Notamacropus eugenii: one gene and its partner. The protein of the gene in region 2 interacts with the protein of the main gene of each other region in a pairwise test. Links are inferred from orthologs where the notes say so. Each region holds a gene or a part of one and is shown on either strand. Other genes may lie near its edges.

Region 1 (7,817 bases), about 44 Mb from region 2:
TTTCACTCAATATAAGGAAATACTTTCTAATGTCTAAAAATGGACAGGACTGCCTCCAAAACAGTGACCTACATCACTGTAGGTCTTTAAGCTGAGACAGGACAACCATTTTTGAAGTATTATCACAGAAAACTTCTACTCAGGTACAAATTAAACTAGATGACCTCATCATGTCCCTGCCAACTTGGATTCTATGATTGTGTGTGTGGTAACCTGTGGGCACCTCCACATAAGGGAAAACCTGAGGGAGAGAGTAAAAGAAGGACCTACCAACTATAGGGTAAAAAATGAGGAAGAATGGCACATAAGAAACTTTGTCTACCTCACAATTTTGTATAGGGCTGGTTCTGATGAAAGAATAGGAACTCTGGAAAGACAAGGAATTGAGCATTAAAGGTATGCTGATGAGAAACTTCCTAATGGCAGTAAGACAAGCTTCATTTGCAAGCCACTGGTCCATAATATCAAATACTTTCTTCTAAGAAAAGTGGTTCAAGTAGTACTGAAGTGGAAATCAACTCTGGAGCCAAGGAGACTCAAAAACCTAAGTCACTGGTAAAATCAACACATAGACAAAGGGGTCCAAAACTTGAGAAAGCCCATATCCTGGGGTAAGGAAATGGATGTCCTAAAGATCATATGGCAGTCAGAGACCCCAAACTAGAAGATAAAGGTCTCGGATTTTTCACTAGAGAATAGATCTCTCCTAAGCAAAGTACTATATTCCATGGCCATTCCCAGATTAGAAAGGTATTTGGGCAATATGGTTGGGAAGAATGTCCTAAGTTGCCTAACTGCAATCTGCAGAAAGATATGACAATGGGGAAATTATACCTATTATTATTATACCTAGAATATCAGGAATATTAGGATCATTAGCAGAGAAGCTATCTGCTTGAACAGCTGCAAATGCAACAAGTGAACAAAGTATCTGCTCAAGAAGGCAAAAGAGGCAGGGTAAAAGGAAACAGAACAGTGATGATCAATCATTGAAGAGGGACTAAGACAGGCATACCAAAAAGGAAGATGGAAATAAATTAGGAGGCAGAAGTCAGAGGGAGAGGGTAGGCAAAACTATCTTTGGCTACACAATCTTCTAAATAAGAGGGATGGGGTTGGGGAGAAAATTGATGTGATCTGAAGAACTTTGCCATCTCTTTCCTTTTTCAGGGTAAAATAGTGATGGGAAAGTATGATAATAAAAGACAAACCAAGAATAATTAAAAAAAGAAAAATTCTCAAGGGGGGAAAAACCAATAGGCCTCCAATCTTTGACCTCTTGGAAGGTCAATAATACAGCAAGGGCTTTGCTAGATAGGGATCTCAGAGGTGAATAATAGGGCCTCTCATCTCTGACTCTACAAACTGTAAGTCCTCTCATTCAAACCCTACAGATGCTGCCACTATACAACACCAACTCCCAATAGAAAAGAAACCAAGCCCATTAGTGACAGGTAGCTATGGACTGACAAACCAAGCTTCTGTGTAGAACATTTCCGCTCTAAGCCAAATCCTCTCATAGTAACCTCATCCAAGTTTTGAAAAAAATTTGGTCCATCCAATTCCATCACTAGGTAGGAAAGCCCACAGAGTCCCACAAATGAAAGTTCATCTAACTCTGCCTGGTAAGACCTTCAAGCACCTTTCTAAGATGATTAATTCAATCTCTTCCATTCCCTGCTTCTCAGTGGGGGGCAGAGCACCAATATTACCTTTTAATAAAACTAGGTGGGAATGAAGCTAATCATGCCCTCCTCAAACAAACTTTCTAGCTCCCTCACAAATGAAATTCTCAGGGAGACAAAAATTAGAAAGACTGAATGCTCCATTCAACTGTACTTTGTATGGAGTGGGGAAGAGGAGACTTGAGTTTGGGGCTGTCACCAAACATAGGAAAAAAACCCAAACATCATACCACACTGGTCTCTATTACTTCTGCTCTCTACCTCAGTGGCTATCAGGAATCTGTGACCACTCTCTCCCCTACAATGGGGTCACTCAAGTGGACAAGATGAGTAATTTCTTACTCTCTGGAACCCATAGTCTCCCAAAAGCTCCTTAACTGATCCCAAAGCTTCTGTCAAGTTTCTCAACTTCTCTATTCCTCTAGCTTAAATAAAATTTACTTCTTTCACCTTAACTCTTTCCACTGAGTCCAAATCTCCCTCAGTTAAACTCCTTAAGTTACCATTAAAGTTCTGTCATTACCCCCCATCCCTTTTGATATCTTCTCTACTTAAGTTCGACTCTAATTTATCACTCACCTCATCCTCCCAATTCATTCTTATTTCCATCCATTGAACAGCTCCCTGGCAGCCCAGCTCCAGTAACCCCCTCACCTCCTCGATGCAGCCCATCAGGCTGACAGGTGTGGCCCCTCCACCACCCATCCCCACCTTGGCACCCTACATATGGGATTATTTCATCCACCCCTCCAAACCCTTTTCTCCAAGGACTGGATCTAGTCCCCCTTCTTCGCCACCCCCAATTAAGCCAACCCCAAGCAATCCCCTTTAGTCTGCAGGGCCCAACCCCCCCTGCACTCCTCACCTCCAGAATGAGCCAGGCCCACCCTATCACATCCCACCCCAACCAGAGCCAGGCCTAACTGGGTCCAAACACCTCCCAGCTCGTCTTCTTACCTTTTCCAATACACCCCAGACCCCTGCCCACCAACTTCGCTCTCCCTTCCCCCCAGTCCCCCGACTCAAGAGCTCCCCGTTAGGCCTGCCCATCCCTGCCCCCTTCATCCTCAGTCCCTCCCTGGCTCCGGAGGGTGCCGAAGTCCGTTCCCTTTACCCCCCTCAAAGCAGGGCCTCCCTCCTTGTCAGTTCACCCGCGCCTCCTTCCGCCCCAGCCCCTCCGACTCCACCAGCCCCAGTACCTAAGCCTCCGACTACCCAATCGGGCCCGAGCCTGTGTCGAACAGACAAACAGCTGCAAGTCAACCAAACCCTTCTCCACCTCCTCCTCCTTCTCCTCACCCTGGGGCGGCGGCCTTGACCAATAGCAGCTTCCCCCACCCACCGCCGGAGGTGGGGCTTACGTCGACACATTCGCCAATCGCCTTTGGGGAGGTGGGTTCTTCCAGCATTGTCGCTAACGCATACGAGAGAGGGCCCTGACGGACGAAACACGCAACCAATAGACAACGAAGCTCCATGCAAATGAGCAGCCATTAAAGAGCGAGGTTTCCGAGGTAAGAGGCGGTGCGCTGTTAACGGACGTCTGTAGCGACCAATGGAATCTCGACACCCAACGAACCTCCCCCTCCTCCTTTCGACTCATAAACATCTAATCAGGTGAGCAATGGGGGGAGGATCTTGGCAGAGAACTGACCAATCGTGTCACGAATTAAAGAATCTGCTTGGCAAACGAGGCGGGGCAGAAAGGAAGCCTTACGTTAACCTTCGCCCCCCAAGTTTGGAGTTGATACCAGGTAGCATCAGCCGTGAGCAATTTGGAGATGAACCTTAAACATTTCTTACCTAGAAGGATCTTTTCACTTGATTGGACAGGGGAAGGGGGAGGGGAATGAAGGTAGAGGAAATGTTCACTTCCGGGGGTCGGGGCAAAGGTCATGACCCCTTTTGCTTGGTGTCTGCCTTTTGACTGAGTTTCCAAAGTGGAGACTTTCCATCCTGGGTCTTAAAGGATAGGAAGATACAGGTGTGGTCTATCGCCGGGTCCGAGGGGCCGGACCCAATGGTCTGTGTGACCCCCACTTAAAGCAGGCGGGAGGCGGGGGCAAGGCGGGAAGAACTGAGCTCCGTTCCGGCTTCCTCCCGCCAGCTTCCAGAGCTTCTCTCTGGGCCTGCCTGACTTCAGTCATTTTTATGTTGGAGACCCAGCCCTGGGAAAGTCCCATCACTAGACCCTGCCCTCCATTTCCCCGAATCCCAAGGATAAAAGAAACAGACTATCAAACTAGGAACTTTCTTTTAATGAATTAGGAACTAAATTACAAATAACATTAACAGAGACTGGGTGGGGGGAGGGGTTGGGAGTGAGGACGCACACGACCATAGGAAGACAAAAATATTTTTTTTAATATTTCCCTTACAAAACCCTAAAGGTGCACACGGCAGCAAAATTCCTCCCCGATTTAAAAAAAACAAAACAAACACAAACAAAAAACTACTACAACCTGGAATATAAATAGTATTGTCCTTCTTTCCAACAAATATTCTCTGGCATTCCCATTGCCCAGTCACAACCTTCCCTTTAAAAAGTGTCAGGCATTCTCACAATGACTTTTAACCTTATGCCGTGGCCCCAGTTTTGAGTTTCCTTCATTGGAGGATAGGAGGCAGAGATGCTCAACAGTTAAGTGAAAGAAACTAGAGGCCAATTCCAAAAGAGATGGAAAAATCAAACACCTCCCACCCTTATAAGGCAGCAGTGAAGTAGTCATGGATCAGAATGAAGAACAATTCTCCCTCTCTTCTCCCTTTGTTTCCATCCTTCACCCCAAGTTCAGTTTTTGCCAAATGGATAGAGGGGTGGCAGACAAGGGAGCTCGAGCTAGGGCTAATTAGTTCTATGGCAGCACTTACTAGGACTGGTTTTTATTTCTCCAGCTTATGAGGGGAGATGAGCACTCTGGGGTACAAAATCTGGTTTTATCTTATTTTCTTTTTAAAAAATTCACAAGGAAAAGCATACACACACACACACACACACACACAACAAAACAAAAATACACAATTATTTAAAAGGGGCCTTGTGGAATGTCCTTTCAAAGCTTCCCACCTAGCCCTCTGCTTATAGTAAGTCCTATATAAACAGTAGCAGCAGGAGGATGGGAGGGGTATGCTGAAAATCCTATGTGTCACTCCCAAACTCAGGAGACAATCATCACCAGACAGAAGTCCTAGGTAGGGGGTGGTTTGTCAGACAGTGGGGAGCCCTGAGGTCCTGTCTTTTGTCCATCCCCCTCAGCATAGATCAGGAGCTGAGGCTTCAGGGTCTGTCTCACTGCTCATGCCCTAGAAGGAGGCAGTGGAAGGCAGATGTTGGCTTAAGTGCATTGAATACTGAATCTCCCTTTCATTTCCTACCCCTCCCAATCCCCAGCTATCCCCAAAATGGGTAGAGCAGGAAAAGGGAGATGGTAAGTTGAGAGTTAGGGGCAGCCAAATTGGCTCTCCCTGACCCCTATCTAAGTTCAAACAGCCCCAGAGCCAGGCCAGGGCTGATCTACCCTAGAAGGTGAGGATAGGATTGGGGGGTAGGGGCACAGCATGGCTCAGAGTCGCAAGTGGGGTACAGGCTTGGTAACATCCAGGAAGAAGGGATGAGTTAGAGCTGCCTTGGCTGAAACACGCTTGTTAGGGTCATAGTGCAGCATTTGCTGGAGGAAGAAAAGGAAATTATTATTAAGAGGGATGTCTGTGTGGCTGGGTGAGGGACAAGCTACTTAAAACACAATCCCACCCACCCTCCATCTTCTACACAGATGGGCCATTTCTGCAATTTACTATACCATCTGACTCAACTTCAACCCCTATTCCCTCTAAGCTTTGCTGGGCAACCACCGAGGAAAGACAAGGCACAGAAAGAAGGCTCTTCTTTAGGAAATGGTAAGACCTTTGAGTCCAAGGGACCTGACTTCTTCCTGACTCTCCAGGTGAGGGGCAGTGTGACTTGGGTTGGGGGATTGTGAGGTACAAAGAAAGAGGTTGATTTCTTCCCTCCTTCCTAGCTTACCGATAGCAAGCTCCGTCCATCTTCGTCCAGTGGAGGCACCACCTTACTGAAATCTTGTCGTGCCCACTTGGGGAAACTGGGTTTATAATCAGGCATGGAAGTCACTCCTGGCCAAGCTACCTCATCTGGTGTCCCCAGTGTCCGAAAGATCCTGAATAGCTGGTCAATTTCAGAGTCTCCAGGGAATAAAGCCCTACGGGTAATCTAGAAAGTAGAAGAAGAGGGGGACAGGAGTGATGTAGATGAACCCCTCCCTGCACATAGAGTAGAGGTTCCCACAGGCAGTGAAAGGTCAATGGGACCCCATGACTCCCCCCAGGGCCCTTCACGGGGTCAGTCACACTTGAGCCTGAGACAATAAAGCCCCTTTATTATCTCCACGCCTCCTCCTTCCCTCCCCCAACCATGGCTTTTCAGATCCCCCTAGGCTGGGGTGGGGGGGTTGGGGTAGGGTGAGTGGGGACCACTGATGTGCAGCAAGGGGATCCCAAGCCACTCACGGGGTGTGGGGTGGGCATTGAAGTCATCCCCCCTCCTTGTGATGCAGCCACTTCTAGATAGGAGTACAGAGGGCAGGGACTGTGTCTTCCACTTCTTCTGTTATCCCCCACAGCACCTAGCACAGTGCTGGGCACACAGTAGGTGCTTAATAAATCCTTGTTGATTGATTGAAACAGGAATATGGGCAATCGTAAGGTAATGCATTAAGGGACAAATAACCCATACTATATTTTTAAGATGATGGGTTCTGAGCCCTTAGCTCAGTTTCCTCATCTATAAAATGAGGGGGATAGACTAGATGACCTTCAAGGTCCAGGAAAGGAACCTGGGAATAAGCTCTCAATAAATATCTGTTGTTGATTTGAAGATACTGGGCCAATGTGTTGCTTTGGCCCAAAAGACCTATAAAAGGCTAAGAGTTGTCAGGGAAGATATTGGTAACAAAAGGGAAAACATTAATCCCACCCTTGTCCAAAACCATGGTACATCTGTACCTGGAATACTGGGTACAGTTCAGGTTACTGCGTCTCAAGAGAGATTATCACTGAAACTGGAGAAGATTCAGAAGGATAATTTAAATAATCAAGGGGATGGGGGAGGGGCTCTCACATGACTAAAAATATTAAGAATCTTCTGTTGGTAAAGTCAAAAGTTGAGAGCATATGCTCAAAGTCTATAAAAATAAAAAATAGTATAAATAAAGCTCCCTAAATTCTGTGTTATTAGAACCAGGAGAGGTACCCTAGGAAGTTGAAGGAGGAAACTTTAGGCTGAGTACAGGAAATACTACTTCCCATAGTAGGAAGTAAACTTTTGGAGAGCATGAAATAGCTATAAAAATAAGTTTATCTGTAAATTAATGGTGACAGAGCTACAGTGGACTATTAAAAGAAATGAAGATTTTGTCAGGGGACTATCGTACCATTTAAAGTCACTACCAGGGAAGAAAAGCATACCCACCCACCCCATCCCACTTCCACAATACTTCCCTTGCTATCAGAAACTAATGTAGGGCTGGATGGAGCATAGGTCTTAACCAGTGTGGCAGTTCTTAAGCATTCTCATGCCATGAGATAGAAGGGGATGTATGTGTGTGTGGTAGAGGGAGAAGGTGGGAGATTGGTGAGGATTAGGGTCAGGGTCTACAACATACCATCTCTGCAAAGATACAACCCAGGCTCCATATATCTACAGCTGTTGAGTAGTATTTACAACCCAAGAGGATTTCTGGTGCTCGATACCACAGGGTTACCACCTGAATGGAATGGAAAGGTTGGTGATGTTTAGATAGTAGGGAAATCCGAAGCCTTTTGACACCATTCCCTAAAAACTCCAATCTTTAGAATAACTTTTCCTCTCTAAAACCTGTCCCTCCCACTGTTTTACCCCTAATAATCTTTTCCAACCTCAGATCAGTTCAACACGTGGTGCTTACCCTTGCCATGCAATTTCTTTTATGTGCTTCTATTCAACTATCCCAGCTTTGCATCTAGTTAATCTGATACCACAATGAATGAGTTTAAATTCTAAGATCTTCCTGGAGTGTCCAGGGTTCTTTTTAATTATTATTGTCAATTATCATATGCTTTAATATACTATACAACATA
Region 2 (7,869 bases):
ATGTGTAGATAAAAATGAAAAATCACATATTTATGTTTTTTTCTTCCAAAAGATTTGCAAGTGCCCTGTAAAATGACACATTATTCAGAGAGAGACAGGGACAGAGAGACAGAAAGACAGACAGAAACAGAGACAGAGAGACACAGAGATAGAGATGCAGAGACAGAAATAGAGAGACAGAGAAAGGGACAGAGAGACACAGAGATAGAGATAGAGATACAGAGAAACACAGAAACAGATATAAGGAAACAGACAGAGTCAGACAGAAACAGGGAGGGACAGAGAGACAAACAGAGACAGATAAAGAAACAGAGACAGAAAGAAACAGCAGGACAGAGAGATAGGCAGAAACCCTCTAGCTCTGGTTTGAGGCTACTGCTTGGAAAGCTAGGGTAGAAGGAAGTAGGCAGGTGAGCTCAACTCAGCTTTTTATAGCAGAGCTTCCAATTTGAATTATTCTTGATAATTAGGTGCCACACTTAATAGTCTCTGCATTTCTAATAGAATGCAAATTCTGTCAAGTTCTATGAGGCAGCTAAGTGGCTGATAAGAGTGCTGGATCTGGAGTCGGGAAGACCTCACTTCAAAACTGGGTGACCCTGGACAAGTCAATTAACTTCTGTCTGCTTCCTCAAGTTCCTCAACAATAAAAAGGGGGAAAAAAAAGAAAACAAAAAGAATAAAAGGAGGTCATAACAGCATCTACCTTCCAGGGTTGCTATAAGAATCAAATAAGTCAATATTTGCAAAATGTTTAGCACAGTGCCTGAGACAATGATACATACCTATTGCTTTCCCCTTCTGTCCCTGCTCTCTAAATTCAGTACACCGTGTCAAAATACTGCTTACCCCACTTTAGTTATGTCTCCACTGATATTAAAAAGATTTTAGCAATAGAAAGGGATCTATTTCAACTCCTTTACTTTAGGATCCAGAGAAGTTAAATGATTTATTCAGCGGCTATTCTAGTTAGTGATAGAGCTAGGAAATAGAACTTGCCCTTCTAATTGGTTCATTGGTCTTGTGACCACATTTTTTCCCCATTCATTTATAAAATAGGATAATGTTATTGGCACCAAAGATTTATTATGAGATTGCTTGGTACCTAGCACTTATTTAAGCACCTAATGGAGGCAGTGCATTATACTAGCTGCAGGGGGCTGAAGGGAGATACCAAGACTGTAAGACTTAAAGATTCCAGAGCTGATAGTCCAGAAGGGGCAATATGCATAAATCGGTGCCTATAATACAAAATGTTATGTGATTAAAGAAGTACAAAATGCTATGTGAGAGCTGAGGGAGAAAGTATTACTAACTGGGTGTGAGGATCAATGAAAGTTTTATGGAGGAGGTGTCATTTAAAAGCATTCCGGTTCCCACAACTGGCAGGGAGGGAGGGATGGGGGAAAAAGCAATCAAGACCAAAAATAAACCTAACAAACAATGATAAAAAGTTGGGAGAGCGTGGAACGACTATGGGAGATGGCAAGAGAATCAGTTTGACTAAAGTACAGATATCTATCAGAGAGAAGTGCTGAGATAAGGTTAGAACCACAAGGTGATACCACAGGATTACTCAATTACTGATTTTATACTCAAACATTTATACTCAATTGGGCAGCTAGGTGGTATAGTGGCTAGAGAGCCAGGTCTGGAGTCAGGAAGACGAGTTCAAATGCAGCCTCAGATACTTATTAGCTGTGTGCCTCTGGGCAAGTTACTTAACCCTATTTGGCTCAGTTTCCTCACCTGTAAAATGACCTCTAGAAGGAAATAGCAAGCTACTTCAGTGTCTTCATCAAGAAAACCCCAAATGGGGTCAGGAAGGGTTGGACAGGACTCAAGAGTAACAAAAACACTTAATTGATAAGACAATAGTGAGTCACTGAAAATTTCTAAGGATTAGGAAAGCTTTTTCTTTCTGACTAGACTCAGCACTCCATCTGCTATGCCACCTAATAGAACTTGACACAACTTGCATCCCATTAGACATGGATCATAAAGGGCAAAGTGGTGAAAGGTGATTTGGAAGTGGAGGTGGTGGTAGTGAGGAAACCAGAGCAGAAAGGTGTGTAGGATGGAGGAGGGTATGGTAATACTTCAGCTCAGCTAGGCAACAAATGGGGGACATAGGGTTGGAGAAGTGAGAATGAGGAACAAGTTTTGGTGAAATAGTTATGGGAATTATTTTGTAGACAGAATCCACAGGAATTGTAAGGAATGAAGAGGACAGTCCAGGGTTAGGAACATGGGAGATGGGGTGCCAAAGACACCACAACAAGGAGAGGAGAAAGTACAATTTCAGACAGATAGAGTTTTAATACTTGTAGTACTATCCAGAAGATAATTATCTTCATGGAGAGCAGGGATTGTTTTTTGACTCTTTGTACTGCACCAAATAAATGCTGACTTAATTAAAAATGATTGACTGGAGTTCGGAGAGGTGGAATCCTGATCTGGACTTTGGGATGTGTGATAATAATACATAGGAGAGGCTCATAGGTTCATATATTTAGAAATTCGAGTAGCCTGAGACGTTACCCAACCGCTAAGAAAGCAAGAAAGGAAGAAAGGAAGGAAGGAAGGAAGGAAGGAAGGAAGGAAGAAAGAAAAAGAAAGAAAGAAAGAAAAACTGTGACCTAAAGTGGCTTAATGACTTGCCTAAGATTATGCAGGTAAGGACAAAACTTGGGGCAATATCAGTATCATGGAGGAAGAAGGCTGAGCATTTTAATGAGCACGAGCTGATTAAGTTAGAGGCAGGTTGGCTTGGTGAATCAAAGGCTCGAAGATTCCCGAAATCAGCCCCACCTCTGACACCTTCTGGCCGCAGGCTCCAAGGCTGCTCATGTGACTTCTCGGGGTCCCAGGAAACTGTGAGACAGAATAGCTTGTGTGTGTGTAATGTGCATGAAACACGCACGTGTGTAACGTACACGAAATATACATGGGTGTAATATACACGAAACATACATGGGTGTAACATACACGAAACATACATGGGTGAAATATACACGAAACGTAAGCGGGTGTAGTATACACGAACTATACCCGGGTGTAATATACACGAACTATACACGGGTGTAACATACACGAAACATACATGGGTGTAACATACACGAAACATACATGGGTGTAACATACACGAAACATACATGGGTGTAACATACACGAAACATACATGGGTGTAACACACGAAACATACATGGGTGAAATATACACGAAACGTAAGCGGGTGTAACATACACGAAACATGCCCGCGTGTGTGTAACGCGCACGAAATATGCATTGTTAGAGTTAGCCAGAGCGGTCAAACGTCAGATTCTGTCCAGAAGAGGAAAGAAATTCCATTATACAAAAAGTCACATTCCAGACTCGTCTCCCCGGGAGCCCCATCTTTCCTGGGTAGGGCTGCGGGGGGATTCGCCGACGCCGGAGGCGAGGAAGGGGAGGACGAAGAGCGGAGTGGGGAGGAGGGGCAGGAGGCCAGTTTCGGGGTTCTCCGTCGGGGGTGGCGGGCAGGGTTGCCCAGCAGTTCCCCGGTGTCAGGGTGGCTGCGGATGCCAGGGCTGCCCCGCCAAGCTCCGGGCCCCCTCAGCCGTTGGCCGTGGGGGAGGACGAAGCCCGGTCCGGAGCGAGCCCCCGAGGGTCCGAGGGTGGGACTTCTCAGCCTTCGGTCTCGCGCCCTGACCCCGGCCGGGGTGGGGAAGGTGGCGCACGCGCGCCCCACCCGCCGGAAGGCTCCGTCCGCTCGCTAGTTAGTCAGCCTTTCGCCCACGCACGCCCCGCCCCCGCCGGCCTGGATTGGCCCCTGCCTCCGGCTCCGCCCCTAGGGGAGGGTCCGGACGGGCTCTCTCGGCTCCCTCTTCCCGCCCGGGGCCGGGAGGTGGCGCCCCCGCCCCCGCTGTCAGTGGCCGCGCGACTGCGCGCTCCCTCCTCGAAGACCGGCCGAGTGAGGGGCCGTGGAGGCTGCCCGAGCGGCCGCCGCCCTCCTGCCCTGGCTCGGGCCCCGAGCTCCACCATGCTCCGGCGGATCTTGCAGCGGGTAAGAGCCGAGGGCCGTGGCGGCGGCAGGCCCCGGGGCCGGCCGCGAGATTAGGCCTCTGAGCGGGAGCGGGGCGGATTAGGGGGTGGGGTGGGGTCGCGCTCCCTCTGAGGTGTGAGGGGGAGGGGCGGGGCCGGGCGGGGGCGCACGCGCTCTGGGGTGTGTTTGTGGCCGGGGGCCGCGCTCCGCGCCCCTCCCTCCGGGCTGCCGTTACGGCGACCGTCTGGACTACGGTGTCATTGAGAACGTGGCGGCCCGAGCCGGGGCTGGGGTGGGAGGGGTGGGGGATGGTGGAGGGGCGGGGCCTCGCCCGCCCCGCCCCCGCTGACCTTTAGGCAGCGACCCTCAGGGCGTCCCCTTCCCCGGCCGCAGGGGCACGTGGGTGACTCGGGGCGCCCTAGGAGCCCCACGTGCTCCTCCCCCGATCGCTGCCAGGTCACGGGAAGCCGAGGTCCTCCGGATGCGCCCCGGGGCCTGGCACGCAGGAGGCGCTGCCCAAGTGTGTGCGCACCTCGGGGAGGTGGGGGTCCCACCACCCGGACCCAGGCAGGCGGGAGCCAGAAGCCTTGCTGGGCCGATCCGAGGACGAAGGAAGTGCGGGGTTGGAAGCCGTGGTGGTGGTGGTGCGGCCAGGGTGGCCACCCAGGAGAGTTGAGTCATCCAGTGCCTGCCCGAGGGAGTGTGCCAGCTTCTCTCAGCTGGCTGGCCCTGTCAGTGTCATGTAGAACTTGGTCATGTATCCAGGGGAAGTGGAAGAACCAGGGCGTTCGGATCGGACGCTCTAAAAAAGACGAGTTCGGATGTCCAAAGGGCTGCGCGGAGCCTCTTCCTTTGTAAGAGGACTCTAGTAATAAGGGCAGGTCCTGGCTTCTGTTCAGCAGAAAAGACGTCTTCGTGTCATTTACTTGCAACATGTAACTCATTTTCAGGAACCCTTTCTCTTATGCCTCAGATTTGTTCTGTAGCTGAAGATAGTTGGCCTAGGATTTGTGTAAAGGTTTATGATGAAAAGAAAGTGTTTAAGGACTTCAAGGTGCCTTCTGAAAGGTATGTGGAGAGAGCTGCCAGAAAATTCAGGATACTTTGAAGTAGTGCTGGTTAATACTGTGAGGAATTAAGGTTAGGCAAATTTATTTGTTTTTCCTTGTTGATAGGAGGAAATAAATAGTGTTGGAGATTCCAAAGGAAAACAAGAAATTGGGATTAATGTATGTAAGCAGATAAGTATTTTATGAAGCTATCAAAACAGGAGGAACAAGTTGGTGAAATCTTTTGATGTTAATTACAGGTATTTCCATTGTGAACTTAAAGTTTCCAAAGCTAGCTGTTACACTTTGATTAAAATGTAACCCTCATGTAATTTAGAACTTAAGGACATTTTTAAATCATTCTAGAAACAATCATTTTTTTTAACCTCCTGAATTTTTTTGAATAAGAATACAGTAATTATAATGCAGTTAGTGTTTACCTTTTTTTTAAAGGGGTATGGTTAGTATGTACAAACAGGTATAACTTGAATCTTTAAGTTGTGTCACATGGCAACATTTTAATTTCACCCCACCCTGACAACCTGGTATTTCTTGTAAGAAGAAATGACATTAGACAAACTGAAGTATGTTTAGACAGTATGTTGGGAAATGGTCCGCATACTGTAAACTGTGTTATATATCATTTAGTGTTGTGGTCTTTGATGACCTTTTTGTTTCAGTCACAATTGTTTTTCTTTAGAAAAGTGCTCTTTAAGTAACATTTTTAAAAGAAGCAGCAAATCTTGTACTTACTATTATTTATAACTTTGAACCTAACCCCAAAAAGTACTAAAAGGGGATGGGATCTAGAGCTGGAAGGGACCTTAGAGGGCATTTAATTCATTAATTTGCTAATTAAGAAACTGAGACCCAGAAAAGTTAAAGTGACTCATCTTGAAATTACCCAGTTCTGAGAAATGGCTTATCTGGGATTATGCCAGTCAGTCAAACACACAGGTAATTGAGCTTCAATCTAATACCGAATTTTATTGTTGCGGTTTTAACAAATTATATTGGATCATAGAATCATGAATGTAGAGCTGGAAAGGTCTTCAGAATTCTGGTCCAGCTTCCTTACTTTGTAGAAGAGGTGATGAAGCAGAAAGTGGCTTACTTGGGATTCAAATTCAAGTCTGTGACTCGAGGTTCAATATTCTTTTCCATTACACCATGCTGCATTCCTAAATGTACCTTCTTAAAGCATCATGATCCTGCCCCTCCCCCCCCATACCTATCTTGTTACCTATCCAGAGCCCTAGCTTAGTTACTCATAGTTGCATCCCACCTATCTAGTCTGAGAGATACCTATGAGGTTCACTTTGCCTCCTTGTGTTTAGGGCCTGTAATTCAAATCCTTTGTAGAAGGTGCAGAACTTTGCAGGTAGCTTGCTCTCTATTTTCCATCGGTAGCTCTACCTCGTTTCTACCACATTATGCTCAAGTGTGGGGTACTGAGATACAAATGTAGATGTCAGCACTTCCTCCCTTCAAAGAGCTCACATTCTAATAGGGATATAAAGCACATTAGTTGATAAATACAGGATATCTTCAAAATAAATACATTGGTTTGAGGAGCTATTAACACTTGGCAGAATCACGAAAGTCCACTTGAAGTAGGTAATACCTGAGTGAGCCTTAAAGGGAGCTTCTGGTTTCAAGAGTTGGAGAAGAGGAAAGAGGACTTTTCAGACTTGAGAGCCAGCTTGTGCCAGGGCCTGGACACAAGAGATGTTTGGATTGTAGAGTGCATGAGGGGTGGAATATGTAATGAGCCCTAAAAGATGCGGGAGCCAGATTGTCAAGGGTTCTAAATGCTAAACAGACAAGTTTGTATATTGTTCTATCCTAGAAGCAATAGGAAACCACTGAAACTTCTTGAGCAGAGGAGTGCCTTGGCCAGACCTCTAATTTAGGTATATCAGTTGAGCTGCAGTGTGTAAGATGGATTGATGGAGAAGAGAGAGAATGAAGGCAGGGGTCCCAATTAGGAGGTTATTGAACAGTCCAGAATAGAGGTTTAGGGAGGTTGTGGTATGAGTAGATTGAAGAGGACAGAAAGGAGAAATGTTAAGGGTGTAGAGAATGAGTTGAGAATGAGTAGTCAAGGATGATTTCTAGTTTGTGAACCTCTCTAGAAGGCCAGTTCTTGAACACTCAAATTAAGGAGCTCTCAGACTTGCATCAGTGCTCAAATTTTGGATTATCTACAAGGTAATAACCTTCTAAGCCTGGAAAAAGTCCTCATAAGATCTCTCCTAAGATCCTGCCTGGGTAAATGAAAGGTTAGTGGCACTTTCAACATAATATAAGGAAGTTGGATAGAGGGGCAGTGAGTTTGGAGGGAAAGATAATGAGTTCGATTTTGGATGTATTGTGTTTGAGATGGCTCTGCCACATGCAAGTGGAGACTTCATGCAGATTGTTGAAGAGATGTGAACTAGAACTTAAGAGAGGAATGAAGTCTGGATATTTAAATTTGGAAGACATTTGCCTGAAGATCTTGGTTGAAAATCCATGGGAGCTGAGATCAGTGAAATGTAGAAAGAGAAAAGGAGGAAGCCCAGGACAGAGCAGTTGGGAAACATTTCCTCATAAGGAGCTGGTATTGCATGGAGATGAAAAGCAGATCAAGAAGGAATGCTTCAGCAGGTAGGAAGAGAACCAAGAAGACTCAGGGAAAAATGGAGGAGATGGTAGTCATAGTCAAACATAGTAGAGAGATCAAGAAAGATGAGACCCATGAAAGGCTGCTGGATTCAGCAGCAGAGAGATCATTGGCAGCCTTGGAGAGCCCAG

The links.
Region 1: the proteins of EEA1 (region 2) and RAB5B interact in binary tests that used the Homo sapiens proteins (3 or more experiments, as listed by UniProt). The link is inferred for Notamacropus eugenii from reciprocal best matches to the Homo sapiens genes EEA1 and RAB5B.

Annotation. Positions count from the first base shown.
Region 1 is NC_092874.1:231,171,120-231,178,936, reverse strand, and holds the start of RAB5B (ras-related protein Rab-5B), read right to left. Parts: upstream 3,006-7,817; 5' UTR 2,885-3,005; intron 1-2,884. Other genes in the region: CDK2 (cyclin-dependent kinase 2), read right to left, coding at 5,249-5,353, 5,710-5,913, 6,210-6,365, 7,364-7,465. UniProt on the Homo sapiens protein: The small GTPases Rab are key regulators of intracellular membrane trafficking, from the formation of transport vesicles to their fusion with membranes.
Region 2 is NC_092874.1:275,351,715-275,359,583, reverse strand, and holds the start of EEA1 (early endosome antigen 1), read left to right. Parts: upstream 1-4,793; 5' UTR 4,794-4,845; coding exon 4,846-4,878; exon of another isoform or gene 4,879-5,092; intron 5,093-7,869. UniProt on the Homo sapiens protein: Binds phospholipid vesicles containing phosphatidylinositol 3-phosphate and participates in endosomal trafficking.